7 linked regions of the Daphnia pulex genome follow. The protein of the gene in region 3 binds, or shares a complex with, the protein of the main gene of each other region. Links are inferred from orthologs where the notes say so. Each region holds a gene or a part of one and is shown on either strand. Other genes may lie near its edges.

Region 1 (3,733 bases), on a different chromosome or scaffold from region 3:
TTATTCATCTAATAATATCCAGCGAATCTCGAAAAAAAAGGTCTAAAAAAGAAGAAGAATGGAATGCAATTAGCATAGTTCATCAATATGGAACAGGCAACAATAACGCAATCATCGTCGGGCGGAATGCCTATTGTAATAGAAACTCTCCTATATATATTATATACTTAATGTTACAACACACACAGCAGAGCTGCCCTGCTGTATTTATATATATATATATCCGCGTTGTAAATCACCGGGATATATATAACGGGCCAGCGGGTCCAATCTCCATAAAGTGTCGAGGCACACCAGCAACAAAAAAGCGTATCATCGGAATCGTATTACCCTATAGACGTTTTCATTTGAAGGGGAGAAGGAAGAGTTTTAAATAAAATAGAAGGAAAAAAAACCCTTTTTTTTCCTTTATTTCTTATATATTTTTATTTTACTACTCTTTGGGTATAGGCCAACGAGACGAGTCCAGTGACCAGCCAAAAGGTCCAGGGAAAGAGAGAGAAAAAGAATCTTTTTGGGCAAAACGAAACGAGACGTTCGCAGATTTACGACTGCGATATGTTATTACGCACACACGGGACCGATTGGCTATCAAAATAGAAGAAGAAGAAGAAGAAGTTCTTTTGGTGTGTGTAATGATGGAGAGAGCAGCCAAAGAAAAAGGAGGTCCAGTAGGAGCATCAGCAGCAGCCCAGGCCAGGCCAGGCCACAAGGCGCGCTTGGACGCCCAGTCGCTTTTATCGTCAGTTAACGGGCAAGAAATTTGCTTATTTTATGGCCGTCTTCTTTTTCTTTTCTCTCCTAGAAGAAGAAGAAGAGGGGGACTCGTAAATTTCCCTTTTTTTTCTCCTTACTACCCCCGCTCTCTTCTTCCATCGACTATACAGCTGTAAATTCTTGTAAAGTCGATGCTAACTCGTTAGTCGTTAGCGTTATATAGAAGCCGTTCTGGTTGTAGTTGTTGTAGATGTCTTATGTGCTGTGTGCCGGCGCTGTGGGTCCAGCATGCACTGGCAGAGAGAGACTACGACTTTTTGTTGCTTTATATTACCCCGATGCCCAAACACGGATCATTTGATGATTGCGCGCTGTGAAAGAAAGAAAAAAAGAACAAAATATAAGAAAACTGAAATCTATATAGTCGTAGTTTTTGAAGAAACGGGCATAGCTGCTGCTGCTGCTGCCCATCCCAGTTGATTTGGACTCGGTTCTTTTGGCTTTGGCGCATATTATTGCCGTGTAGATATATATATATTTATCGGACGTGTAATAACATTCAAAATGGCGCAAGCTCCACAGCTATAGTTTATATGTGTAGCTGGGACTTGGGAGAGAGAGTATAATATTCATGCAGCTAGATCTCGTCTGATAGAGGCTGGACGCCCTTCGCTTGTTGAGTTCATTGTGTGTGTGTGTGTGTGTACTAGTCACGCTTGATTACGGTGTGTGTCCCGTGTTTGGTAACAAAAGCATTTCCACCTATCCGCCCACCCTACGCCTTTTTTATTTTATTTTTGTTATTTTGGGCCAGCCAGTCGATAAACGTATCGTTTAACGTCCGACTAATCAGAGCCAATTGAGGAGACGACATTACCACCACGCATTCCTTGCCCGACCCCTTTTTTCTTTTATTAGTGAGTTAGGAATTTCAAATTTCGCGCTCCAACTGCCATCTGGCGGATGAAGAAGAGACTTGGCATTGGAAATGGCGGGACGACCGGCTTCGCGTTAGTTCGTCTGCACACACTGTGTTTTGTTGACACGCGAGTAAAGGTATATAAACCGCTTTTTTTTCCCGAAATTATAAGAAGATGGCAGTCGCCGAATTGGAAGAGCTGAAAAATCATTTTAAAACGCACACTCGAACGAGGGAAGTCTCTGCACATTCGGCCAAGGTTCACACGGTTGATTGGAATTGCGATGGAAGACGGTTAGCGTCGGGTTCCTTTGACAAGACGGTGTGCATTTTTACTATGGAAAGCGACAGACTGGTTAGTATTAGTCCCGGCTTATCAATCATGCAGCAATTATAATGGAGCTTGAGGCATTCTGTTTCAGGTTAAGGAGCAAACGTTTGTGGGACACAATGACAGTGTCGATCAGCTATGTTGGCACGAAACCAATCCTGATTTGCTCAGCACCGCCAGTGGAGACAAAACCATGAGAGTTTGGGATGCAAGAGTTAAAAAGAGTGTCGCCACAGTAAACACCAAGGGTACAATTAATTACGAAATTATGCTTAAACATTCAATCCTTCATTAATGTGATTTGACAGGAGAAAATATCAACATCACGTGGTCACCTGATGGAAATTCCATTGCAGTGGGAAATAAGGAAGACCTTGTTACTTTTATTGATGCCAGGAATTTTAAGATTAAAATAGAACATCCGTTCAAGTTTGAAGTCAACGAAATAGAATGGAACAAGGCTAGCAATCTTTTCTTTTTGACTAGTGGGCAAGGCTGCATCCACATATTAGAGTAATGATGAATTTTCTTCCCCCTGCTTTCAATCTAGCATGACGCTATCAATTCTCTTGTATCTAGTTACCCAGAGCTTACGACCGTTCACGTCACACAGGCTCACCCCGCCAACTGCATTTGCATCGAATTCGACCCCACTGGACGGTACTTTGCCACTGGGTCGGCCGACGCCCTAGTCTCTCTGTGGGATGCCGATGAAATTGCTTGTTTGCGCACTTTCTCCAAGTAACATTAATGCCAATAATAACGTGCCGTTTTCTATTGAGGTTATTCAATTACTGACTGGGTGTTTCCCCTTTAGGTTGGATTGGCCAGTTCGGACATTGAGTTTCAGTCACGATGGGTCCATGTTGGCGTCCGGGTCAGAGGACTTGCTGATCGACGTCAGCCACGTAGGTACAGGCGAGCGCGTTATCAGCATTCCAGTTGACACGCCAACCTTCACAGTCGCCTGGCATCCACGCTCTCACCTGCTGGCCTACGCCTGTGACGATAAAGACGACGGAAACAGAGACGCCGGAACTGTGAAGCTCTTTGGTCTCTCTAACGAGTGATGGGCCCATACGAATCAAAACTAGGAGGTCTCGTGTTTTATACAGAATCCAGCTTTTTTTTTTTTATTTTTTCACTTGCAGATTTTCTTGTTTACTCTTGTCAAGAACTATTTGCCAAGCTTACAAACTTCAACTGTGTTGAGAGAGATACAAGTAAAATGGATCTCAGATCAGAGATCTTTTCCAGAAAACTGAATTGTTCCAGGACACATTTTCCCTTTTTTTTAACGTTCAAACATAATTAATTACTCAATAATAATTTTCGTTATTACTAGATCCCATATTTGTTAAAAGGTGATGACCGTTCGGCACAAATTTTTAGTCAATAATGAAAAAAACAGGGCGTTAACGTTTAAAGAAATACGACGCTTTTATGCAAGCAGTCCATCTAGGTAAGACTTATTCCTATCCTTATTCTATTACTAAAGGCAAATTAATTTAAGTTGTCGTGATAATAAGCATATTTCGTAGAAACAGATAGATTGATAGTTTGTGTTACATCATACGTGCCGTTGATTATGTACAAGGCTAAAATGTCGTTTGATATTTCGTAACGGTAGTTGGTAAACACTAAACACACACACCCATATATAGGCAGCAAAGCGGCACATAGACGAATGTATCGTTTTGCTCGAGTAGATTCATGTTCATTGTTCTCCGCAGCTAGAACGTGAAATACTCGGAATGCTTCTCGTG
Region 2 (3,224 bases), on a different chromosome or scaffold from region 3:
CAGACCAGCACGAGTCCAATTTGTCCCAGGGTCAGACATCTAATGAAATTACAACAGTGGAAGAAGTCAACGCCGAAATGAACCTCATACTTCACCCCCGAGCCGGAATTCTACTCCACAGTAATACCTGATTAAATTAAATATAGTTATGAATTAATAGTAACAAAACATTTGTAACGAAAACAGGTTTCCAATTCTCTAAACCAACCAAGTTTAACAGCGAAGCCGCAGCCTTCGCTCAACCATCACGAATTCCTTACCGTGGAAGTTCAATTCCAATCATCGACAGCATCAACGAGGCTGCAGTAGCTCAGCAACTACGTCAAGCAATCCGCCGTACACTTCGCAGCTCATAATAAGCACTTCACAATCTTTATAAACATGACTTTGTTAAAAAAAAAATTTGTAGTTTTTCCAATACACTCAATTTGATACAATTGGACGTTACTAGATCTTTTGGCTTCTACACATCTCGGGAATCACAAATAAAAAAACAATGGTTTTTCGCTGAAAGCTTCATTTTTTTTTGTCTTAAAACCAGGTCTGACAGGTTTGTCTTTCAAAACACTGAATTTGTATGAAAAGAACGAAAGAAAAAACATTATTGAAAAAGTGGTGGTGGTGAGGAGAATAAGTAAAGGTGATCAGGAGTTTGCGTCAGTGATTCAACCTCTGATCCACCACGTGTGGACTCAAAGAAATCAAATAATTTGGTGAACATTACACGATTGCGTTATTTCAATTCACTCCTGTATGACTCCAACTCGGCATCAAGCTCATCTGCTGTCGGTGCAGGCTGTTTGGGATTGCGTTGGCGAGCACCACCAGCACCACCTCGCTGACCACGCTGGCCTCCTCCTCCTCCTCCTCTCTGGCCTCTGTTGGAAGCTGGTGCACCAGTCCTCTTTTGTTGCGGCCCGTTGTTAGTGTTAGCTCGAGGGCTGGTTAGTCGGTTGGCGATTGTGTTCAAATCGGAAGTAGCCATCTGAATGACCATTGATCGACCATCCAATGGGACTCCGTTGTACTGTTTCATTGCCTATGGAAAAGAAACAAATATTGATGCTGTGTGTCCTACAGTTGACAAGTTTCATGAAGTTTACCTTGACGGCATCAAGACGGCGCTCAAACACAACATCAGCTGTACCGAGAGATCTGCCTGATCTGTCATAATGCACAGAAGCATGTTTCAATGGTCCAAATTCCATAAAAAGTTCCTATAAATAGAATTATTCAATACATGTTCATCATGACAGAGAAGCAATATATGTTATACCTTAATGTCTGCATCTGACACACCAAAGTCTAAGTTAGAAACAACAAGCTTGGAAGAGCCGCCTCCAGCAGCATTCGGTGCAGCACCCAACCTGGGATTGCTTTTCCTTGGTCCACCTTCATACATGTCATGAGACCAGTCACCATCTGGGTTGCCCTAAAAATAACATACACAAAGAGTCAGCACTATTGCATCACGAAGACTGTAAGATACAGACTAGCTTGGATTTGAAATAGACGAACAAGTCAACCAAGGATTATGCAATACTTTCTGATAGAACATAAAAAAACAAGAAGAATAACTTAACAAATATTTACCTTGGCGTAAGGTGCAGCACGACCCCCAGCATTTCCCTGTCTTTGATTACGAACGGGTCCTGAGCCGGCATTACGGTTGCCTCCACGAGAACTGCCACCACGACCGCCGCGTCCTCCACGGCCCCGGCCGGCTGAACGGCTAGTTTTGATGATATCATCCAAGCTCATGTCAACTTTGTCGCCCATTTTGATAACAATAAGTTTGTGGAGGACTTGACAAAATTAAGGACTATCAATTTAAAAACGAAACACAAGTTTAAGAAAGATTCAATAAGAACGAAACAAATGGATGATGGTGACAGGGACGGTACGACAATGACGCCACGCTCAATCTCTATGCCAAGTTAACGAATATGAGCCTAAGCAAACTCTCAATGGCGCCCATATTGCCCGTTTGCCAGTTTCAAAAACAAGAAACATAAATAATTTAATACTCCTTTTATTCTAAGTGATTTATTTTTCAAATAATAAATTTAAATTTATTTGATTCAATTTTACAAATAAAAAACAGTTTAGTTTCAAATTAAGTTTTTAACCGACGTGGTTGCCAAGCCCGGTGTTTTGATTCTGCTTTTCAACCCTCTAGATGACAACACGTGTTTAAAGTTAAAAGTTAGTGCCTGTAAATTTTAATTAGGCCCCATAATATCCCGATTATCAAGAAATATCTAATGAATTTGCGATTTGCATTGTTAAATGTTGTAGTTGTTACTGTACGTAGTTTTCATTCTAATCAAAAGGTATTCGGCGATATAAAAAATAAAAATCGTGTGTTAAATTTACTCGCCAACATGCCGAAAGATACGAGTCATGTCGCACGTCTTCAATCAGAAAGACAGGCAAAGAAGATTACTAAAACAAAATACCCACCAGGAACCGTAACATTACAAGTTCTGGGTTCTGGTGTCCGTGGTGCACCACGGTCCCTCTATATGTTCACCGATCAATCATGGTAACATTTTAAATTAAAGCAAAAGTATTTTAGTCTAATTCCTGTTTGCTTTTAGTTATCTCTTCAATTCCGGAGAAGGATCTCAACGCTTGGCCCATGAGCACAAGTTTAAGCTGTCCAAAGTTGAGAACATTTTCTTCACCCGTACATCTTGGCAAAATGTGGGTGGATTACCTGGAATTTCATTAACAATTCAAGATGTTGGTGTTCCCAATATCACACTCCATGGACCACCTGGATTGGTAAACAAATAACATCTAAGCACACATTTTAATGCAGATCCAATAATATCATAATCTAATTTTAATAGGGTGAATTATTTACTGCTGCCTCCAGATTCATCATATTAAAGAATTTACAAGTCAATCATGTGGATGCTACTTCACCTGCATCATCTTATGAAGATGCTGCCATGAAATTAAATTATGTAACTATTATGCCCAATGATGATGCAAAATTACCACGTTCAGCTTCTAGTTCTCCTATCGAAGAGGAGGATGTGACCAATTATTATTGTCGAGAAAAAGGAAATCCTGGTGAGTTATCAGTGGTTACAAATTATTAGAATCGAAATGTAAACAAAATTAATTTTCTTAGAGGACGTTCCAGCTGCTAAAAGGACTCGTGTTGAAGATGAAAGTGACGAGAACCCGAAATCCAAAGCCGTTCTAGCTTATGT
Region 3 (3,935 bases):
AAGTTCAGTACTGGGAACGTTAACCTCCGCTTCGATTCTCTATTTTTAAAAATTACGTAAAATATCACAAAACCGAAGACGAAAAGTTTTAGCTATAATACATACGCGTATAATTTCACTATTTTCTCTATTGTGCTTTCCATTCCAGTTAAGTTCAAGTGAACAAATTGGTGTAGAGTTCGGGTAGTCTACAGGAACCATGAACATCGCGAGTAGTTTTGCTGGAATTCAAATACAAAAAAGGTTCCAATAATAATTAAATTCATCATACAGGATCCTTAACAGAAATTAAATTTTAAAATATTTTACAACTATACCGGATTCTCTTTCAAGAGTTGCTTTGTAAAACGAAAGGCTTTTTGGATTTACTTCAAGGAAGTTCAACAGCCGTTCAAGGTTCTTTGACGTTACGAGGCATTCTTCATACGTAGAAGACGTCCATGAGACGAGTCGAGAATAGATTGTTGGTGGAAAAGTAGCATTTGAGTCTTGATTGAGATCAAGTTCACCCTTTTCTGTTTAATGTTAAAGAAACTATGCATATTTTAAAACTGTTTTATAACAAGTATGAAATAAGACTCACCAAGTAAGTGTAAAACCTTAACAAACTGGAAACGATAAGTAATCCTACTTTTTAGGGCAAGAATAACCTAAATACAAGTAAACACGGTTATTCTTGTTTTACTATGTTATTGTTGTTTAAAAAATTATAGAGACCGTTTCAACGAATTCCGTGTTGATGAAAGATTGAGGTGTCGATTTTACGATGCCGTTGAAATCTAACCCAGCTAAACGTTGGGCCCAAAGGTAAGGTTTTCCTTGTTCAGTTATTTTACCGTTGATCATAGACCTTGCTTGAAAACAATTGACCCAACTGGGCGATTCATCCCCATGGTCGTTTGGAAAAAGTCCGGAAAGGAGATTATCGATCATACAAATCTGACTAGTAAGAGAAAGACTTTTTTAAAAGACATTTCGACATATAGAAAGAAAGCAATAATATAATCTTACTTTACTCCATCGTCTTGCTGAACGGGCTTGCAGTCGACCGTGACGATATTTAATGTTGTTAAATACGTGAAGTTAAGGACAACGCGTTCAATCTTAAGTTGAATACGTAAAGGATGCCTAGTCAATTGCCAATCTGTTTTCATTTTATTTGAAGTCGCGGAGCGTTTGTTTGTTTCATATTCCGTCTCCATGTCAGATTCCGCTGAATCAACATCCTCGAGAATTTCGTCCAAACCAGTTTTATTCTTTGACCCAAAATTAATAGCATCTTCCATTCCACCTTCGATAGAAATTTGCAATGACGGATCTGCGGGTTAAAGTCATATTTATCGTAACGATTAAGAAAACTTACGAATTTAATAAAATTACCGCATGCTTCAATGAACGCTTTTATCTGACTGTACAAAATGTAAAGTGGATCCGGTAATAACACAGCCAACTCTTTCTGAAACTTGATTCGCTCTACAGGCAAATTAAGCTCTTCTTGTAAGGGTCGCGTGGACTTTCGAAACATAAATATTAAAATCAAATTCTTTTAGATTTTGTATCACTTAATTACCTCAAGTATGGAAGTAAGTCTGGGTAACAGGCTTTCAAGTTGTTTTTGTTTCTGACTGATTTCACTGGATGCCTTTTCTCGATTTTGTTCCAGACTACGGCACTGTTCCGAAAGACGTTTCCGTTGTTCAAATTCCCATTCCAACCGAGCCAAAGTCAATTTGTGTTGATTACTTTTGGTCAATTCCTAAATGTAAAGAAAACAAAATAAGAATACTTTTTGGTAGTGGTTGGTAAACAATAGGTAGATTTTCATACCATTTTAGAAATGCTACTTGGGGCCTCCTGATAAAACTCCTCAACAGGAACAAGTTCAATGTCCTCATCTTTAGACTTGAACTCCAAACACTTGTCCACTTCTTTCTTCAGATGAAAGACTTCATACAGCAGATTTTCTAGTTGTAAATGAAATGTATCCACACGCTGCTTGGCATCATGGGTTGTATCCCTTGCCTTTTTCAATCTAAGCTTGTCTATTCGATTTAACTTCTTCAATGTTACAAACAAAAGAGAAGCTTCTATTCTTTTTTCAATGATCTTTTTACTGGTTTCTTCATCGGTTTTTCCAGATGTTTTCAATTGTAAAATGTCTGTCATCAATCTTTTTAATTCACAACATGTTTCTTTGAATATTTTCAAGTCACTTTCCCCTGTCCGGGATTCAACTTCCTTGTCTTCAATGTCCATGAAATTCTAGAAAATCATGCAAATGAAAAGTTAAATTCAGCACTATATCATTTACCCAATAAAAAATCTAACCAAAGTTAAGAGAATTAAGTAACAAGTACCTTGCAAAATTCCTTCACTTTACTTGCTGCTGCCATAGATGAAACATCATTTTTGCTTTTTTTGGGATCTTGTTTAATAGATTCGGAGTCACTTCTTTTAGTTTTGGAAGGTTTAGACATTGTTAATACCGCTTCCAAGCTTGTTCCGTTTACCAGTTTACTATGTTAAATAAGTCTTGTCTACGTCTACTATATGCAAGGCCGACAAAACTGTATAACGTGTTGAATCTTTTTATTCTTAAACGGGTACACGTAGCGGTAATTTTAAGAACTAGTTCCGTTAAAATTAAAATTTTCTTTTAGCTTTATCAGGCTTTATCAAAGAAAATAGGAAAATAGCCCGAGTCCTGGAACCTTGCTTTAAATAAATTGAAATTTTAAACAATACTCTTAATCTTGAAAGGACTGCGCATTGTATCAATGATTTAGAAAGAGGACCTAACCGTTTAACATTACCTTTACATGAGTAAGGGAGTTTCCCGATAGCTTAAAAATATTCAACCACCAACATTTCATTTCTCTAACCATGAGTTGAGATATAGACATCACTAATTATCTCAAAGGGATCGTCAAGTATGCAATTTTCCTGTTATACATTTTATCCTTCCCATTTAAGGATTAATAATTGGTATTCAAGCAAAATGACACCTTATACCTATAAATCATGTTAAAACTACTGTGGGTTATGTTTGTGAATATTTTAAAAAGGTTTCAAACTTTTGCCTTTCTTATGTCTGACTTTTACGAAAGTTTTCCACCAAATAAGCTGTAAGAACTGAGGCAATTCGACGTACGTCTGACACATTATAGACAGGATAATCTTGTATTTTTGCCGTTTTTGGTTGAAATACAAAATACAATCCCGAGAACGGTTTACTTCTTCTTGCCACCCTTGGCAGCCTTGGCTTTGGCGGCTTTAGCCTTTGCCTCCTTGGCTGCTTCAGGATCTTCAGCCGCTTCCTTAGCTCGCTTAGCTCGGATACCTGCAAGGCGTGCTGTTGTTCGGGCCGTGCGGAGTACAGCATAAGGAGAGAATTTGCGATCGGCCGGAGTGATGGCGCGAGCCTTCTCCAATTTGTAAGACCTGGTGATGGGCATAACCTCAGTAGTCAACTGTTGGGCCAACTTGATTTCCTCAGGCTGAAATAAAACATAATGTTATTGTAAAGTGGTGGTACACAATCCTTGTCACAATTCTTACAGTAGCATCAGTCTTCTGGGGTTTCTTGGCATTGCGTGGGAAGAGGATCAACTTGCTCTTGTAGACCTTCAAGCGAGTGGCGTTCAACTGCAATGATTCCACAGACTTGTTACGACGACGGTGGTCAACAGCAATACCAATTGTTGGGGCGAAACGCTTAGGGATCTTGGCAGCCTAAAACAAAAAATTCAAATAAAAATGATCACATTAATATATAAAACTTTGGAGCATATGGCATAATAAAACATTTGCTACACTAAACCAAATGGATTATTTAACTCTTCGACAATGAAACCAGAGCAATTTGCAGTTTGATTTGAGTCGTGTCTGTCATAATTTCCACAATTCAAAACATGATACATTAATAGTAAATATGT
Region 4 (3,693 bases), on a different chromosome or scaffold from region 3:
TTTCTTGTTTTAGTGATATGAAAAAACAAAATTTCACTGCCAAGTAGTCAGTAAAGTAATTTTTAGAAGTAATTTACCAGAAAGACAACACTAACAGATGTTATAACAGCTGCTTTCATCCTTTCGAGCACGCTTTTGATCATGTACAAAACTTCAAATGAAGAAAACTTTGAAAAGCAGACGACAAACAGAAAACAAGATAAACAAAAGCGTGGTTAAAAACAAAACTACTCTCCGAAACCTAAACAGAATCCTTACGAGAAACTGCGATATGGTACTATTTTTGTTTTTGTAATAATATCGCGGTAGCCCAACACTGCTAAAAACTGCAGAACTTGTTGCGCAGGTCAGACCTATGATCTAACTGTTTAGTTACTGACCGCAAGTTATTAATTTAAAGAGAAAATAAAGCTCCGTTTTCTTTCTTCGTTGTTTTGTGTACTTTTAATGATACCCTTAAAAGTAGTATTCAAACTAGGAGAATTCTATGGTGAAACAAATACGATGAAATTAATTTTATTGTCTAGGCCTGAAGTAAACCATAAGGAGTGAATATGACTGGAAAAATTTCTTTCACTAAAAATAAATTTCAATGAGAAAAATGAGCAGACGCATCAATTCCTTTTAAACTCTCGTTTTTCATCTCCGTTTGCTGTCCGTGGAGCGTCGGGCTCGTTCTGTTCTATCTGCGCGGTCAAATGAACGATCCGATGCTTCTCGTGAAAGAGGTGATTCCTATACAAAAGGAAAAAAAAGGTAATATTTAAGAGAAAGATTTAAAAAAAAATTGTTGATCATAATACTCTGTTGTGTCCTCGTCTATCAGCGTTTCCATCAGAGGGACTTCCGTTTCCATGCCTTGGGGATCTTACTGTTAAATTAACTAAGAAAATGGTAACAGTTCACTGTAGTTTTTTCATAAGAAAAGTTACCTTTTTCTCGTTCGTCCTCCTTTCGACGTTTGACATCCATCAAAACATCCTCCAGCACCCGATCCTTCAACAAACAAGCAAGAGCTTCAGAATTGAAAAGCAACAAATATGAAGAAATGTAACAACTTTGTCTACCCTTTTACGCTCGCCTTTCCTTTCACGACGTTCCTCCTCGGTTTCTTGGATATTACGTCGTTCCTTGCGATCTTCTCTGTCACGCTCCATCCATTCATCCTCACGGTCAAGCTGATTACATAATTCAGTTACATTTAATAACCATGTAATTTTGGAGTTATCGTGTTTTCTTACCTTGCCCGAATGAGGCCTATCTTCTCTATCTTCTTTCCGTTCTTTTATCCTCTTCTCTCTCGTACGGTCAGGAATTTCTTCTCGTTTTTCAATCGATTCTTTGTGCCGATCTTTCTCTCCTTTTATTCTCTCTTCCTTTACTTTATCCTTTGTCTCCCTGCCAAAATAATAAAACTGTTAAAAGTGCCGTGATTCTAAAGCTGGTTAGAAAATTACCTTATTTCTTTTTCTTTTTTAATCTCCTTGAGGCCAGCAGCGACTGGAGTGCTCGACTGAGATTCGCTTGGAGTAGAGGTAGGAGTATCATGCAAATTTGTTGAAGCTTTTTCCACCCCTAATAATATTTATATTTAGTTAAGGTGAAGCAATATTCAGGAGAAATTTTTGGAATTTTACCATTTACTCCTTCATGCTTAACAATTCCATTCTCAGGTTGAGCACCAGGATTTGCTGCCACAGAAAGTGGATTGGTACTTTGAGGAGTTGTTTTAGTTACCTAAACAAATTAAAATAAACATCCATGTTTTATCGATGAAACAATGAAGACAATGTTCTTTCTTACAGGTTTCCTCGTCACCAGATGGAATTCATATTCTGGAATTGACGTTTTTTTGTTCTTTAATTGACCACTATATGAAATAGCCATCGCTGATAAATCCTGTCGCTTGTCTCGTTGCTCACTGCGTACTACTTCGACATTTCGATCAATCACCTGTTAGAATGTATAACAAATAAAATTAAAAAAAAAAAATTAATTTGTTTCAACAAAGAAATAACAAATAATTACCCCGACAAGAGGCGTGATAACGGGGAAGAATGGCAAGATGCGTATTAGGACGATCAGTGCATTTCGAATCTGGACATAGTCTTTTGATTCAAGACATACAACTAGCGCTTTGGCAATCTTGTGGTGCCACTTGTGAACAACATGACGATAGTTTTCAAAGTCAACGTGATCGTTGTTTTCCGAAGGCTGGTTGCCGACGCGAAATTTGGTAACGAATCCAGGATAATTGGCACACTCTTCGTCAAATATTTTCTTGCTTGAGTGCCAATGCATTACAGTTTCAAGCATGGCACACAAAAAGCGACCATAACGATTTGCCTCGTTTTCCGTACAAGAAGTCACAGTGTATGTTATATCACAAAAGATGCGATCGTAGCAAATCAGCGTTGAAAAGTTTGGTGTTTTCAAATTGTGCATAAGCTAAAAACAAACAACAACCCAAAAATAACAAGTTAGCCAGAGAAAATATTCATGATGAGCAACTTAGACGCACGTACCTGTACAAAGCGAGCGCAAAATAAGGCATCTGTCGCGGTGAAAACGCATCGAGGAAAAAGGCAGAGTTGAAGAAACTGGGTGATCGTCTCCGTTTTTGCTAATTTAGCCGATCGACAGAGAAACCAGCTGTCTTTTTCTTGTGTTAATCTCGCCATGATACGTTCATTGTGATCTTTCTGTTTCTTTTCTTCTTCCAGAAGTTTGTCCATCAAAGCCGTACAGCGATCCAACTCTTTCTTCCGTTTACTGGCTGGCAGATCACGATTTTCATTTGTCTGTTGAATGGCTACCTTCAGGCGTTGCACTTCACGTTCGTACGCAGCATTTGGTACTGACAAATCGTAGACCGTCAGCGACCAAAAAGTGGCAAAAAATTGAGGAGATAGATCTTCCCAAACTCTGGCCGCGCACAAAGGACGAACCGATTCACAAATGGGAGTCATGACCAATCGTACAGCCTAATAAATTCAATTTTGGGAATCATTTCAAGTAAGACAAACATATTCAAGACAAGCGACTTACCTCTAAATACTTTTGAGTCTTCTGGGCCGGAAGTAAATTCTTTGAATTCTTTTCAGCACGCCGCAATTCATCGTATTTGGAATTGATCGAATGAGCAAACATTGGTCGCGCCAGAAAAAATGCGACATCAGCATGGATGTGGTAGTCGGAGAGCAATGATCCTAATTGTGGAAGGCGTCTAACATAGTCGTCGACACTCATATTCAAAGCCAAGAATGTTCCAAGCTGAACGAGCGTATCTTGACATTGGTCGTATAGTTTACCAACCAACTACATGAAGAAAAATCAAATAAAAAAGATGTAATGCTATGTATTTTTTAAATGTAAAATATTTGTAAAAAGAAATACCTTTAGATGATTATTCTCTGTTTCTCGATAAACAACGCAATTGCGCTGCTGTGCGATAAGAAGACAGAGGGGAATGGCCAAATTGGATTCGAGCAATGTTTCCTTTAAACGCTGGGCAGCTTTCTTGGTAACCCGAACCTGTCCAAAATGAGCAGCTTCAGCTCTTAACAGTTCACCGCCTTGCATTGCTTCCATGTGTTCCTTTGTCATTTCCTCGGACGCTTCGATGCCCCCCATTTTATGCACCATTTCCTGAATGTGCAATAGTTAAACATTAAGTTGTTTTTAAAAGATATT
Region 5 (2,926 bases), on a different chromosome or scaffold from region 3:
ACCAAAGGAATTTGCTTCATTCGTACATCTCGCCCCAACACAGCCGTCATCTACGAGAACGAACAAGTTTTCTCTGCTGGAAAGGGTCACGTTGTTCGTAGTCACGATCAAGACGATTTGGTTATCGTTGGCGCCGGCGTTACACTCCACGAAGCGCTGAAGGCGTCCGACATGCTGATGGAAGCCGGCATCAAGGCTGCTGTCATCGATCCATTTACCATCAAACCCATTGATCACGATTTGCTGTTGAAGGAAGCCACTCGTTGCAACGGCCGGGTTTTGACCGTTGAAGACCATTACCCAGAAGGTGGATTGGGTGAGGCTGTTGCTTCAACTCTAGCCGAACAACGAAATATTATCGTCAAGATTTTGGCAGTTCGCGAAGTTCCCCGCTCCGGTCCTCCAGAGGTTCTCCTAGAACATTTTGGAATCGGCGCCAAGGCTATTGCCGAAGCCGCGAAAAAACTTGTTGCGTTGTAAACGCCCTTTTTTTAAGTCACTCATTCCTATACCCATTCCTTACCAGAGGTCTATGGATAGTTGAGAAGAATTGGTGGTGTTTTTTGAAACATTCTTCTATGGCATTCCAAGTCGTATATGTACCGTTTGGATAGTTTATTCATACATAGCTTTTTTGGTGTTTCAAATGATTTTTATTTGTTAGCATTATTATTCAAAAATAGAAAAAAGGGATGCATACAAAATGAACAATTATTAGGATGCTTCATCATCGTTAAGAAGTTGCTGTAATCCTTGGATAGTTGAAATGAGTAAGTGAAATTGTTTGCGTCTTTGTTCTAATTTGGCCTCCAGTTTTTGACATTCACATTCTGAAGCTTCCAGTTCCTGTCGCAATAGGGATAATTTCTCTTGGTTGCTCTTTCGATCAGGCTGTGTTTGAATAATGGCAGCCAAAGCATCATATTCCATTTTATTCCTGCGAATCTGTCTTGCTTCTTGCAACTCCTTCTTGGTTGCTTCAATGTCTTTTTTAGCTGACACAATTCCTTCTTCAATCTGGTTGTAGAGGTCGTCATAGTGCTGCTGTTCTGCAGTGTTCATTTCACAGCACCTCAAGGATTTTGTGGCAGCAAATTCACATTGGGCAATCTGACCAATCATTCTAGCGTAGGATGCTTGTCTGTAAAACAAATAAAAATACATCACATATAGAGTATAGAAGAATTTTATACAAAGATTAATTTACGTTTCTTCAACACTATCTGTAGAGTTGCACCAAGCTAGGAAACCTTTAAGCAATACATTAAGTCTTCTTTCATCACCAGTTCCTTCGCCATCAAACAACAGCCTCCTTCGGATGATCTCTTCTACATAACGAAGTACAAGATGAAAATTAACCGAAATAATATTACTAACAAGTCAAATTACCATCTCCCATTTGTGAATAATGATTGGGATCAAAATAAGACCAATAATAATACAATTTAACTGGTAAAGCTTTGAGAATATTGAGATGTCAAACCGGGCGAAAGAATGAGATGACAAACCTAGGAGAAATGTCGCTGCGGAAACGCCGGAAAGTACTGAAAAATGAAAAAATATTTTCGTCTGCCGTAAGCGTAGTTCGCTCGTCTTTTGTTTTGTTTTTTAAATCCGCCAGCAGACGACACGCCCCTCAAATGAAAGGAAGGAGACATGGCTTTTTAAAAAATCATCCGATTGATTAGGTATCTATTTTGTTTAGGGTTAAACTTGCATGCCTGTATAAACATTAGCAAAACCGAAAGAGAGCTAGTCCAGCAGATCAGCAATATACTTGGGAAACCATTGAACGGTTTAGAATCAATCAGGTGATGTCAAGGAAAGAATCCAATGAAATGCTGGATCTGGAGTGTTGTTTTTCTCGTTTCCAGATTAACGTCAATCTCTTCTTTTTAATTAAACTGTTGCCTTACATTCTAGGAAAACCTGTTTTTATTGTCCTGAAAATTGAGATTGGTGATCAAGATTGACAGATTCATTTTAAACAGGTGTGTAACTGACAGTGAAAAAATAATTTTGGGTGCAAGATACTTACAAACAACATTTATTTGTAAGTATAAAAGGTGCATGTCAATTAATGGTTGTATTTGTCAAGATGTCAGATGGTTGATTGGTTGGTAATATAAAATAACTGAGTTGAGAGAGATTTGGTACCTCAATGGGGAATTTTCACATATGTGTTTATCAGTTGATGTCATTATGATTATGTGCAGCTTGTTCTCATAGTCATACTTGTTGCAGTCCATGTGTGAAAATTGTAAAAAGATACTTAGCGCAAAGAAAAATGTACTTTTTGAGTTCCGCAATGCATAAAATCTTTTGCCAAAATTAAAAAAAAAATAGACGGACGATTGAGGATTTAAATTATTGCTAGAACGTTTCGCTAGAAGATAATTTCATCATTAAATCATCATAAAATTTCATAAATTGCCAACGAATAGAATCAACAACTTTAGTACGCTTACACATTAAGGTCTTCAAGTGGCAAAGAAACGCAACGCATTTTTTAATTCTAGGAAAAATATACAAGTACTATATTAAAGGTAATTTTGAAATAGTCCAATGGGTGTTAATGCCATAGAGTAATTAGAGGAGGCAAGGCATCAAGGGCAGTGGTAGCTGCCGAGCTGCTTTCACTATAGTTGCAACGCTGTTGCAGGTGAGGAAAGAAGACGGAGTCTCGGAGAGGAGAAATTAAGAAAAAATTTTCTGTTAACAAAGATGGCGTCCAACGATGACAGTCCAACAAGTCTTCATGGCCAGCCTTGGTCTGTTTGGGCTGATAGATTAGGCAGAGATAGTCCATTAAGTGAGTAAATTGCCTTATAAGTTGTCTTTTCTTGATAGCTAACGGATATTTTGTGAAAATTGTTTTGATGGTGTTATCGAATCGGTACGGCTTCGGCCTATCTCGATGGACGGC
Region 6 (4,078 bases), on a different chromosome or scaffold from region 3:
ATCATATTATTTGAATAAGCCAACTACAAAACCAGTAATATATCAAGATTATCCAGGGATTTCCAGACAAATGAATGTGAAAAATTACCTGACACCTAACAAACTCGTCTGTATTTCTTCTGGATCAACTATTTCAAAATCTTTGTTTAACAGCAAAACCCGTGCAAAAGTTATGAGTCTCGATAACAAAATTCAAAATACCTCAAAATATTAAAAAAAAATATATATATATATTCCCAAATGAGAACCTAAATCCCTGACTTTTCCCTGTATTGCAGAATGGGAACCGTGATATTCATCTGATTTTACTCTACCTGCATGTCCTTGGCCAGTTTGCGAACGTGCGTTTCCAAGTAATCTGGCAGCCGAGTGATAGGAGTATTACCATGAGTGAAGAAATGTAAACTTCGTCTAGCCAAAAGCCGCAAAGCACGCCACCCAAAATTAGCCTCACTAACTCGCCTGGAAACACGAAAATCGCTCATTCAGTTAAAACATTTTCGGAAAAATGTAAGCTTTAAAGTGCAAATTTTTACTTGTACTGGCTTTCCACTGAAGGATCCAGTTGCTCAATGGCTTCCTCAAAATAGTTTTCTAATGTAGGTAGAAAATCTCGATCTTTAGATCGACAGGCAGCCATGTTATCAGGACATAGATTCCACAAACGATTCATCTCAGCGCTAAAGAGAAAAAGCTGTAATTCAATGTTTTCAAATAATTTCATAATTTACCTACTTTCCAATAATGCACTTATTTCTTTTTGAAGCTTCTCGAATCTGATCTCCAAGACTTCTTTTGAGCCGTCTTGGTCGGCCAACTACGATCGTCTTTTTTTCTCCATTGGTACCATCTTTTATAGTATCATTATCAGTGGTTGAGCTGGTTATGCTGGGCCGGAATTCCGGGCAGCCATCGTTCTTCCAGTTGCTCCATAATTCTTCCCGCTACATCCAACAAACACCGATGGATGATATTTTTTAAAACTACTTTTATACAACTCAGTATACCTTTAGTATGTGTCGAATAGATTGGACGAAAGAAGCGCCATCTGGAGGTGTATCTTTCAATAACCGATAGACTTGATCGATAGCCTCGGAAACCCACGTAGTTTGTTCTTCGTTGAGCTTGTGAGTTTCGCTATAAATAGAAGCAATTCAAGCGGTTGAAATAGTCTAACTAATGAAACTTATTGAAACTAACTGTTTAAACTTGACAGGTGAATCCAGATATTGGAACATAATCAGAAACTGCAGCAGAATGTAACGTCTGAAGTTGGAGTCACCGAGCTGAAGTTCGAGAAGATTTTGACTCGTCAAATATTTGGCGAAATATTGTTGGACATTTCCACCATTCATGCTGGTTTCATTCATATCGATGTTTAATGCCACATCTGCCTCATCCCATTTAGAGCGGTTTCTCCGCTCATCCAGTTTGATAGTAGAAAATGCAGACAAAACATCACTAGTATGCTAAAGAATAATTGTTTTTCTGTTAGATGGAAAATTTTAACTTGAAATACTTGATGTTTTAGCTACCAAACAAAACGTTTTCCACGGGATTTTCGTATAGCACTGATTAGGGTTTCGAAAGAAATCTTGTAGGGACCAAAATTTTTTGTACAGATTGTAGTCGGAGCTCAAACTACAAAACAAGAAAATTTAGAAAAATATTGCAATAACTTGTCAATCAAATATATATACCTTTCTTCTACTTCCATTGCATCCTTGTGCTTTTCAGAATTAGCAGATATATCAGCAGCGTAGCTTTCATCTTTAGCTCCAAATGTCGTCAAATTATCCAAATTAAATTCGCTTACTACGTTAAGTCCGGATCGTTCAGAGAATGGGAAAAATTTTGCAAGAAATAGAAGAATTCGACCACAGAAAACCGTGTTCTGGCTTCGGGACAAGCGCCTCAGCAGATCTGAAAAAAAATATACATATAAAATTCATTTCAGCAACACAACTCACATAAAGCGAAACACTGTAAATGAATTTAGCAGAGTGGTATACATTGAAATAAGAGTAATGGATTGAATTCATATCAATACAGAATTAGATGCATCCAGTTACATAAATATTTGTGTCATACATTATTAGAATTTTGGAAAAATGTCTTTACATACCATTGCAAAGGCGAAGTAAGGTATTTTTACACTGATTGAAGAAAAGCTCTTGTTTCCAAATCGCTACTTTCATTTCAACCATGTAGAAAATTTCCTCACATTTTTCCAGAGACAGGATGTCAAAAGCATCTGTGAGCAAAATCACAGGCAGTGTTGGAGAACATACTAGAGCTACTGCACAATCCAGACTCAACTGCAACAACTTTTCAAACAATGGTATGGAAAAGTTTGAGGAATCACTCAAAAATCTGTCTCTAAACGCCTGATCCCATACAGCTTTTTTATCAGCTTCCCTACAATAAATATGTTTAATTACAATAATATGTAAATACTTTCTGCTTTGATTAAATTTACCCAAGATGAGCTGTATTGTTAACTGAAAGTAATTCACTGATAGTGGGTGGACCACCCAGTTTAAGAGCTTCAGAAATGGAATCCTACAGAAACCAAACACAGAAGACATAAGATTTTTCAATTTATTTCAAATATGGCTCATTGATAGATTTTTTTACTGTACCAGAAACGAACACCGAGTTTTCTCAAAATCAAATATTTCCATTTCAGTGGTTTTTTTACAAAGTAAGAAACATAAAAATAGTCGTGTTTTCGAAACGATCAGACGACGCTTCAAAACTTGGTTGCGTTGCCAAGTTTGTAAATTGCAATGTTGCCATTCTAAAATCAACTTGATTTTTTTTTCCGAATCCCGGAAAGCGGAAATTCTGGAAAGAAGTAAATGTCAAACCATTCAAGTTTAACTAATAAGTAATCGGTGATAATCAAATAATTTATCTGTTCAAAGAATATGTTTTGACTGAGATTACCGTTTTGACGTTTTCATACAAAAATGTTACTCGATTATCATCCCCTAGATGGCGAGTCGACGGATCAATAAAAATGGTGTTCTACAAAAGAGAGTCCTTTTTTGAAAAATCATCTAACGCGGGACTGCACCGAGTTTAATAAAGATAAAATTCCCATATAAAAACTACCTAATTTTAAGACATTTCTCATGTTTAATGTAATCGACAATAAGTAGCCTTTTTGAACTCAATATTTTCAATAGCATTCCAATGCTACTCATTTCACTACTAAACAATATTTAAGCGCATTCAAATACTCGAATGTTTTCAACTTCCATTCGTATTACTTTTATCATTTGATTTCCTATGAAAATCGGCAGGTATTGCCTGCCATATTACAACTACAGTATCGACTGCACTATCTACCGAGATTTCATAACCTTGTTCTAGTCTCTATATTTGAACTACCTCTGTTTGCTTACGAGCTCTGATTTTATGTCTACTTCCTGAAGTGCACCAGGAAAAGGCATAGAGGATTAGAGATATCGATTCTTTACTGCAGGGAACCGCCGTTTGTGGCACTTTTTAAAATCCTATTTCGCCTTTGATCATCTCAAATAAGAATAAATTAAAAGGAAATTATTAGTAGCATTATAAAACACCAGATAAAAGATATAAAATTTTACTTATTTCAAACCAATTTATCTGTGTCATTTGGACTGCAGGACGTCATCAACGAAAGATGACGCGGCACGTAAGCTGAAGCAAGAAACGCGAATCCTTAGGCCTTATTCTATTGTAATTAAACATGTAGATGGCGATCGCTTTGAGAGCCTTTAATGAGAAGAAGTTGTTTTCTCTGTTCAAATCGTCCCTGTGAACGAATAGAAGAAGGATGATTGCCAAAAACTTTGTCGATTTGTTTTTTATTTGCTGGCTACAATAACTCTTTGTCAAGCCTTTAATGTAATTATCTTGGGTTATTTACTCTCTGCATTGGCTAGTAACAATTGATGGGAGTAAAGGATAACTCGCAAAACATTACTATATCTCAAGCTAAAGTACGCAAACAAAACAGTCACAACGCTGTCTCCAGGGCAAAATGCCAAGATGTACTTGTACTTTGAAGTATCAAAATTGACAAAAAGTT
Region 7 (3,611 bases), on a different chromosome or scaffold from region 3:
ATGTATCGATAAATATAGGATTTCAGAAACAACTCGATTGGATTCAGTCGTCTTTATTGACGGCCTGTGCAGCACGTTTGGGCATTTACTCCGACCACGAATTCCGTCATCCAATTACCTGTTTGAGCTTGAAATTGAATACGCCATGCCCGATAGTCCCTTGGACGGAAGCGGAAGCCTCCGCATTGAGTTCGAAACCCTTTCGCTTTTTTCTGCGTCAACTGGGTCTTTTCCCTTCGCTTCCTAACGCTGGCACCTATCCAAGGATCCCACTCGAATGGTCACCAGACACTCTGTACAATGTTGCTCTTTCGTTGGGTTCCGTTGCCCATCAGCAAGTTGATTTCGACTTGAGTTGTGTAGGAAAATTGTAGCTTATCCATTTAATTTAGCTTCGATCGGTCCCGCTTGATTACTGCTGGCCAATCATTAGAGTAATTTGTTGTAATTTTGTCTATGATCAGCGACGATTAAATGAAGGAACAAAAATCAAATTAGTGTTGAGGTTAATCATTTGTATTTTTTGGGATGAGTTTCTCTTTCTCGTTTCACAGGCACACCTTTTCACACTCAAGTCCTCGGATGAAATATGAATGAATTATAAAAAGATACATGTGCTAAGTGCGCCGTAACAGGAGGGAAAAGCAAGAAACACACGGCAAAAAGGGACTCCAAAAACTGGGGGAAAGTACAAGAACCATTTAATCAAGTGCTAGAATGAAATCAAGACAAGGTTGTCCAAAATCTCTTTTTTCTGTCTAGACTCTTCACAACAGTCCAACCATTTTCTCAAAGACAAATTCTGAATTGGATTCACTTTTAACTTTAAGGACTAAAACATTGTTAATAGTCAATCAAGACTTGGCGAAGGGGAGTTATTAGTAAGAAGGTTCTTTCGTTTGAAGTTGGGGAGCAGCACAGGTGAGGTAACGACTGGAGAAAGATTATTGCATATTTAATTCATTTCAACGTCCCCAATTTTAGACATGTAGGATTCAATATCATTGTCTAGAGCGCTACGAGTCTTTTGCATGTACTGATCCAATTGCTTGTCCAAATCTTCTTTGCTGACCTTGGTAGAGCCACCTCGACCACGCCCTCGACCACGTCCGGATGTCTGACCGCGCGGAGATGTCGGCAAGCTGCTTCCTCCACGACTGGGTCCCTTACCACCACGTTGGCCTCGTCCTCTTCCTCTTCCACGCTGGATACGACTTTCAGCTTGCCCGGTAATCAATGAAGATGTCATCTGCCCTCGACCACCTCGTCTTCCTCTCACGCTGCCTCTAGCACGCGAAGGTTTGGTCGGCGAACGATTGGTTGTGGCAGCAACGGGGGCTGGCTTTTTCGATGGAGAAATGATTCTTCCGCGAGTGCTTCTCTTGTTTCCTTGTCCACCGCCACGAACGATTGTTTGGCTGACAATGGGCTTCAGTCCGCCCCGGCCTCGAATTATCTTTGTTGGGGTGACCGTTTGCCCTTGCGTTCGACTTCCTCGCAGAGATCCTCGCGACTGACTCCCGCGACCAGCTCCACGATTGGTTGTGAGTCTCCTTTGAGTTTGGGTGGCCGTTCCGCGAAATCGAGTACTGGTGTTTACTGTGGCTCCAAGGCGTTGTTTGATGCTTTTCTGAATAACAGTATAAATGATGTAAGTATATCTGGTTATGAATTAAAAACGAGGAATTGCACCTTTTTCAGTTTCAAAGCAGCACTGACTGATGCATTTCGTCTTTCCATCTGTTGAGCTAGTCTGCTATTCTTGCTTGATGCCTTTTGAAGATTAGCTGCATTATTTCTAGCCCCTTGCAGTTTTCCAGCCAATTTCTGACCCCCTGCTGAGCTTCGTAATTTGGAGAATCTGTAACGAAAAATTTTCATGCGTTAAAAATCAGCAAATGAGAAGAAAATCAACACATACTTTATAAAAGCAAGGAAATTCAATGTTTAACAGGGGGAAAATTGCGGCAAACAACTATTTCAATCGCATATACGACATAACAAACCCAAATTGCCTAATGATTTATACCTTTCATGTAAGGATAAGGAAGTTGAATTATTTGGTACTCTGCCTCCTGAAGCCATTTTGTGCTAGAATACTGCTGAACCAAAGTTCAATTACGGTCAAGAAAATGCCGAAAACAGATAATTTCGAGCTATCTAGAAATGTTTCTCGTGAAGTCAATGAAAACAATTGCTGATGTTTGCCCGGCTGTGAACTAATGACGCTCAACTTTTTTCGACTGCTATTGGGTAGTAAAGTGACACCTAGCGGAAAAAAGAAAGTATGTCGTGATTTACGATTGAGTAAGAGTGCATGTTTTAAAAAATGTGGGTGGAGGAAATGTTTTATGGGTGTAGAATCATGTCAATAATTAAATATACTAGATAATACAGAAAGTGAAAGAATTGGAAATCTGTATTTATTTGAAATCAATGTATTCATTCTGTAAAACAAAATCAGATGACAAGCAGAAATGAATCTTTGTTTTTTTATCGTATGAGATGGTCAATAGTGTTTTATAAAAAGAAATTAGGCGGCCACTACTGTAGGAGTACTGCTTCCGTTTTCCTCAGCTTTAACTGCCGGAACGGCTTTCTCTGGATTGAATGTTGTCCAGCGAGCTTCATCTAGTGCATCCCACAAATCCTGATTGCGCTCAAAAAGTTCTCTGTTCAGTTTCTCAATATCGACGGGTGTATTGTGTTCTATGAGCTCAAACTCATCTTCTTCAGGTTGAGCAGGCATTTGCCCAGCAACGCCATATCCGGCATAAGCTTGTTGACCATCATAGCCGTATCCGCCTTGGTAACCATATCCTTGCCAGCCACCGTACTGTTGCCAATAGGCTGGATCGACGTACTGTCCGTAGCCAGCTGCTGCAGCAGCAGCTTGAGGTTGAACTGGCTGGCCGCTGGCTGCGGCCTGGACAATTGACGAAGCAATCGATGCAGTTAACGTAGAAGTAGAAGATGTACTGGATGAGGATCCTAAAAGTTAAAAGAGTATGAAATGAAATGTACTCCAAAGAAAAGTTTAAGCGTGCATTTACCAGGTATCATGTTGTAATTACGAGGAATAGCCAATGAAACTCTAAGTGGGTTGCTGCCGAGTCCTCTGTGACCTTGCATATGTGTCAGCGCATCTTTGTAATCACTTTCATTAGAAAAATTAACAAACGCATAGCCGCGACTTTCTCCATTGCTGCCTCTGACCACTAAACATAAAATACGAGAAGTTCAGATAATTGCCAATAAAATCATTACAGAAATTTTACAAATTACCCTTTGCCAATTGAACTGAGTTATATTTTGCAGAAAAACATTTGTAAAGGCCATAGTCATCTACATCAGCACTCAAATCTCCCACCCACAGTGCATGATCGGCTGTAGAACCTTTAGTGTTTGTGCTGTGATTTAACTTGAAACGGCTTGGCTAAAAGTGGGAAAACAGATAATATAACTAATATAAATTATGGTAAATTAAAAGTTAATACACTACCGGCTGACTGTATGGAATGATTTTGCCATTCAATTTGTGTAGAACTTCCATTGCTTGCTTTTCATCTCGAAACTGACAAAATCCAAAACCAGCAGGTAATCCAGTGTGC

Evidence for each region.
Region 1: THO complex subunit 5 homolog (region 3) and THO complex subunit 3-like share a complex: the UniProt entries of both Homo sapiens proteins name them as parts of the transcription/export (TREX) complex. The link is inferred for Daphnia pulex from reciprocal best matches to the Homo sapiens genes THOC5 and THOC3.
Region 2: THO complex subunit 5 homolog (region 3) and THO complex subunit 4-like share a complex: the UniProt entries of both Homo sapiens proteins name them as parts of the transcription/export (TREX) complex. The link is inferred for Daphnia pulex from reciprocal best matches to the Homo sapiens genes THOC5 and ALYREF.
Region 4: THO complex subunit 5 homolog (region 3) and THO complex subunit 2-like share a complex: the UniProt entries of both Homo sapiens proteins name them as parts of the transcription/export (TREX) complex. The link is inferred for Daphnia pulex from reciprocal best matches to the Homo sapiens genes THOC5 and THOC2.
Region 5: the proteins of THO complex subunit 5 homolog (region 3) and THO complex subunit 7 homolog are in contact, whole or in part, in a cryo-EM structure (PDB 7APK), measured with the Homo sapiens proteins. The link is inferred for Daphnia pulex from reciprocal best matches to the Homo sapiens genes THOC5 and THOC7. Residues at the interface, in NP_001002877.1 of Homo sapiens: Pro48, Asp51, Tyr52, Tyr55, Cys59, Leu62, Gln63, Met66, Ala67, Gln70, Phe95, Lys99, Leu101, Asn102, Ala105, His106, Arg108, Leu109, Gly112, Arg113, Gln115, Thr116, Ala119, Lys120, Val123, Tyr126, His127, Leu130, Leu133, Glu136; in NP_079351.2 of Homo sapiens: Ala21, Asp23, Ile27, Leu30, Val31, Phe34, Tyr50, Met53, Leu54, Leu57, Cys60, Glu61, Met64, Gly65, Thr67, Leu68, Val70, Tyr71, Asn74, Met78, Tyr81, Ile84, Tyr85, Ile88, Glu89, Ser91, Ile92, Ala95, His96, Lys98.
Region 6: the proteins of THO complex subunit 5 homolog (region 3) and THO complex subunit 1-like are in contact, whole or in part, in a cryo-EM structure (PDB 7APK), measured with the Homo sapiens proteins. The link is inferred for Daphnia pulex from reciprocal best matches to the Homo sapiens genes THOC5 and THOC1. Residues at the interface, in NP_001002877.1 of Homo sapiens: Tyr52, Arg113, Lys120, Asp124, His127, Leu128, Gln131, Asn132, Leu134, Tyr135, Glu136, Met138, His139, Thr145, Lys146, Glu149; in NP_005122.2 of Homo sapiens: Glu60, Arg145, Arg146, Leu147, Ser148, Ser150, Gln151, Lys285, Met286, Leu289, Val296, Tyr297, Phe298, Leu302, Ser304, Leu307, Leu310, Gln311, Ser313, Asp314.
Region 7: THO complex subunit 5 homolog (region 3) and chromatin target of PRMT1 protein-like share a complex: the UniProt entries of both Homo sapiens proteins name them as parts of the transcription/export (TREX) complex. The link is inferred for Daphnia pulex from reciprocal best matches to the Homo sapiens genes THOC5 and CHTOP.

The regions. Positions count from the first base shown.
Region 1 is NC_060028.1:7,657,440-7,661,172, reverse strand, and holds THO complex subunit 3-like, read left to right. Parts: upstream 1-1,357; 5' UTR 1,358-1,811; coding exon 1,812-1,991; intron 1,992-2,058; coding exon 2,059-2,215; intron 2,216-2,275; coding exon 2,276-2,480; intron 2,481-2,546; coding exon 2,547-2,708; intron 2,709-2,784; coding exon 2,785-3,037; 3' UTR 3,038-3,233; downstream 3,234-3,733. UniProt on the Homo sapiens protein: Component of the THO subcomplex of the TREX complex which is thought to couple mRNA transcription, processing and nuclear export, and which specifically associates with spliced mRNA and not with unspliced pre-mRNA.
Region 2 is NC_060025.1:2,695,818-2,699,041, forward strand, and holds THO complex subunit 4-like, read right to left. Parts: upstream 1,988-3,224; 5' UTR 1,780-1,987; coding exon 1,594-1,779; intron 1,433-1,593; coding exon 1,277-1,432; intron 1,218-1,276; coding exon 1,104-1,217; intron 1,040-1,103; coding exon 734-1,039; 3' UTR 501-733; downstream 1-500. Other genes in the region: uncharacterized protein LOC124203100, read left to right, coding at 1-120, 187-356; ribonuclease Z, mitochondrial-like, read left to right, coding at 2,265-2,545, 2,601-2,787, 2,856-3,081, 3,143-3,224. UniProt on the Homo sapiens protein: Functions as an mRNA export adapter; component of the transcription/export (TREX) complex which is thought to couple mRNA transcription, processing and nuclear export, and specifically associates with spliced mRNA and not with unspliced pre-mRNA.
Region 3 is NC_060020.1:6,248,670-6,252,604, forward strand, and holds the start of THO complex subunit 5 homolog, read right to left. Parts: upstream 2,801-3,935; 5' UTR 2,478-2,800; coding exon 2,358-2,477; intron 2,263-2,357; coding exon 1,828-2,262; intron 1,757-1,827; coding exon 1,571-1,756; intron 1,514-1,570; coding exon 1,381-1,513; intron 1,319-1,380; coding exon 1,012-1,318; intron 944-1,011; coding exon 718-943; intron 651-717; coding exon 584-650; intron 516-583; coding exon 318-515; intron 222-317; coding exon 106-221; intron 40-105; coding exon 1-39. Other genes in the region: 60S ribosomal protein L13-like, read right to left, coding at 3,231-3,497, 3,559-3,732. UniProt on the Homo sapiens protein: Component of the THO subcomplex of the TREX complex which is thought to couple mRNA transcription, processing and nuclear export, and which specifically associates with spliced mRNA and not with unspliced pre-mRNA.
Region 4 is NC_060017.1:3,796,407-3,800,099, reverse strand, and holds the end of THO complex subunit 2-like, read right to left. Parts: intron 3,649-3,693; coding exon 3,397-3,648; intron 3,319-3,396; coding exon 3,049-3,318; intron 2,985-3,048; coding exon 2,526-2,984; intron 2,449-2,525; coding exon 2,029-2,448; intron 1,954-2,028; coding exon 1,804-1,953; intron 1,738-1,803; coding exon 1,638-1,737; intron 1,576-1,637; coding exon 1,458-1,575; intron 1,399-1,457; coding exon 1,242-1,398; intron 1,179-1,241; coding exon 1,059-1,178; intron 997-1,058; coding exon 933-996; intron 872-932; coding exon 804-871; intron 736-803; coding exon 640-735; 3' UTR 501-639; downstream 1-500. UniProt on the Homo sapiens protein: Component of the THO subcomplex of the TREX complex which is thought to couple mRNA transcription, processing and nuclear export, and which specifically associates with spliced mRNA and not with unspliced pre-mRNA.
Region 5 is NC_060023.1:12,053,787-12,056,712, forward strand, and holds THO complex subunit 7 homolog, read right to left. Parts: upstream 1,547-2,926; 5' UTR 1,400-1,546; coding exon 1,390-1,399; intron 1,329-1,389; coding exon 1,208-1,328; intron 1,142-1,207; coding exon 715-1,141; 3' UTR 501-714; downstream 1-500. Other genes in the region: transketolase-like, read left to right, coding at 1-480; ataxin-7-like protein 1, read left to right, coding at 2,725-2,812. UniProt on the Homo sapiens protein: Component of the THO subcomplex of the TREX complex which is thought to couple mRNA transcription, processing and nuclear export, and which specifically associates with spliced mRNA and not with unspliced pre-mRNA.
Region 6 is NC_060026.1:6,262,967-6,267,044, forward strand, and holds the start of THO complex subunit 1-like, read right to left. Parts: upstream 2,801-4,078; 5' UTR 2,685-2,800; coding exon 2,643-2,684; intron 2,563-2,642; coding exon 2,480-2,562; intron 2,419-2,479; coding exon 2,126-2,418; intron 1,924-2,125; coding exon 1,701-1,923; intron 1,642-1,700; coding exon 1,536-1,641; intron 1,470-1,535; coding exon 1,201-1,469; intron 1,138-1,200; coding exon 1,008-1,137; intron 945-1,007; coding exon 736-944; intron 681-735; coding exon 537-680; intron 463-536; coding exon 315-462; intron 1-314. UniProt on the Homo sapiens protein: Component of the THO subcomplex of the TREX complex which is thought to couple mRNA transcription, processing and nuclear export, and which specifically associates with spliced mRNA and not with unspliced pre-mRNA.
Region 7 is NC_060027.1:3,847,523-3,851,133, forward strand, and holds chromatin target of PRMT1 protein-like, read right to left. Parts: upstream 2,242-3,611; 5' UTR 2,086-2,241; coding exon 2,030-2,085; intron 1,862-2,029; coding exon 1,693-1,861; intron 1,631-1,692; coding exon 956-1,630; 3' UTR 501-955; downstream 1-500. Other genes in the region: protein timeless-like, read left to right, coding at 19-374; tRNA selenocysteine 1-associated protein 1-like, read right to left, coding at 2,534-2,991, 3,054-3,218, 3,286-3,436, 3,503-3,611. UniProt on the Homo sapiens protein: Plays an important role in the ligand-dependent activation of estrogen receptor target genes. May play a role in the silencing of fetal globin genes.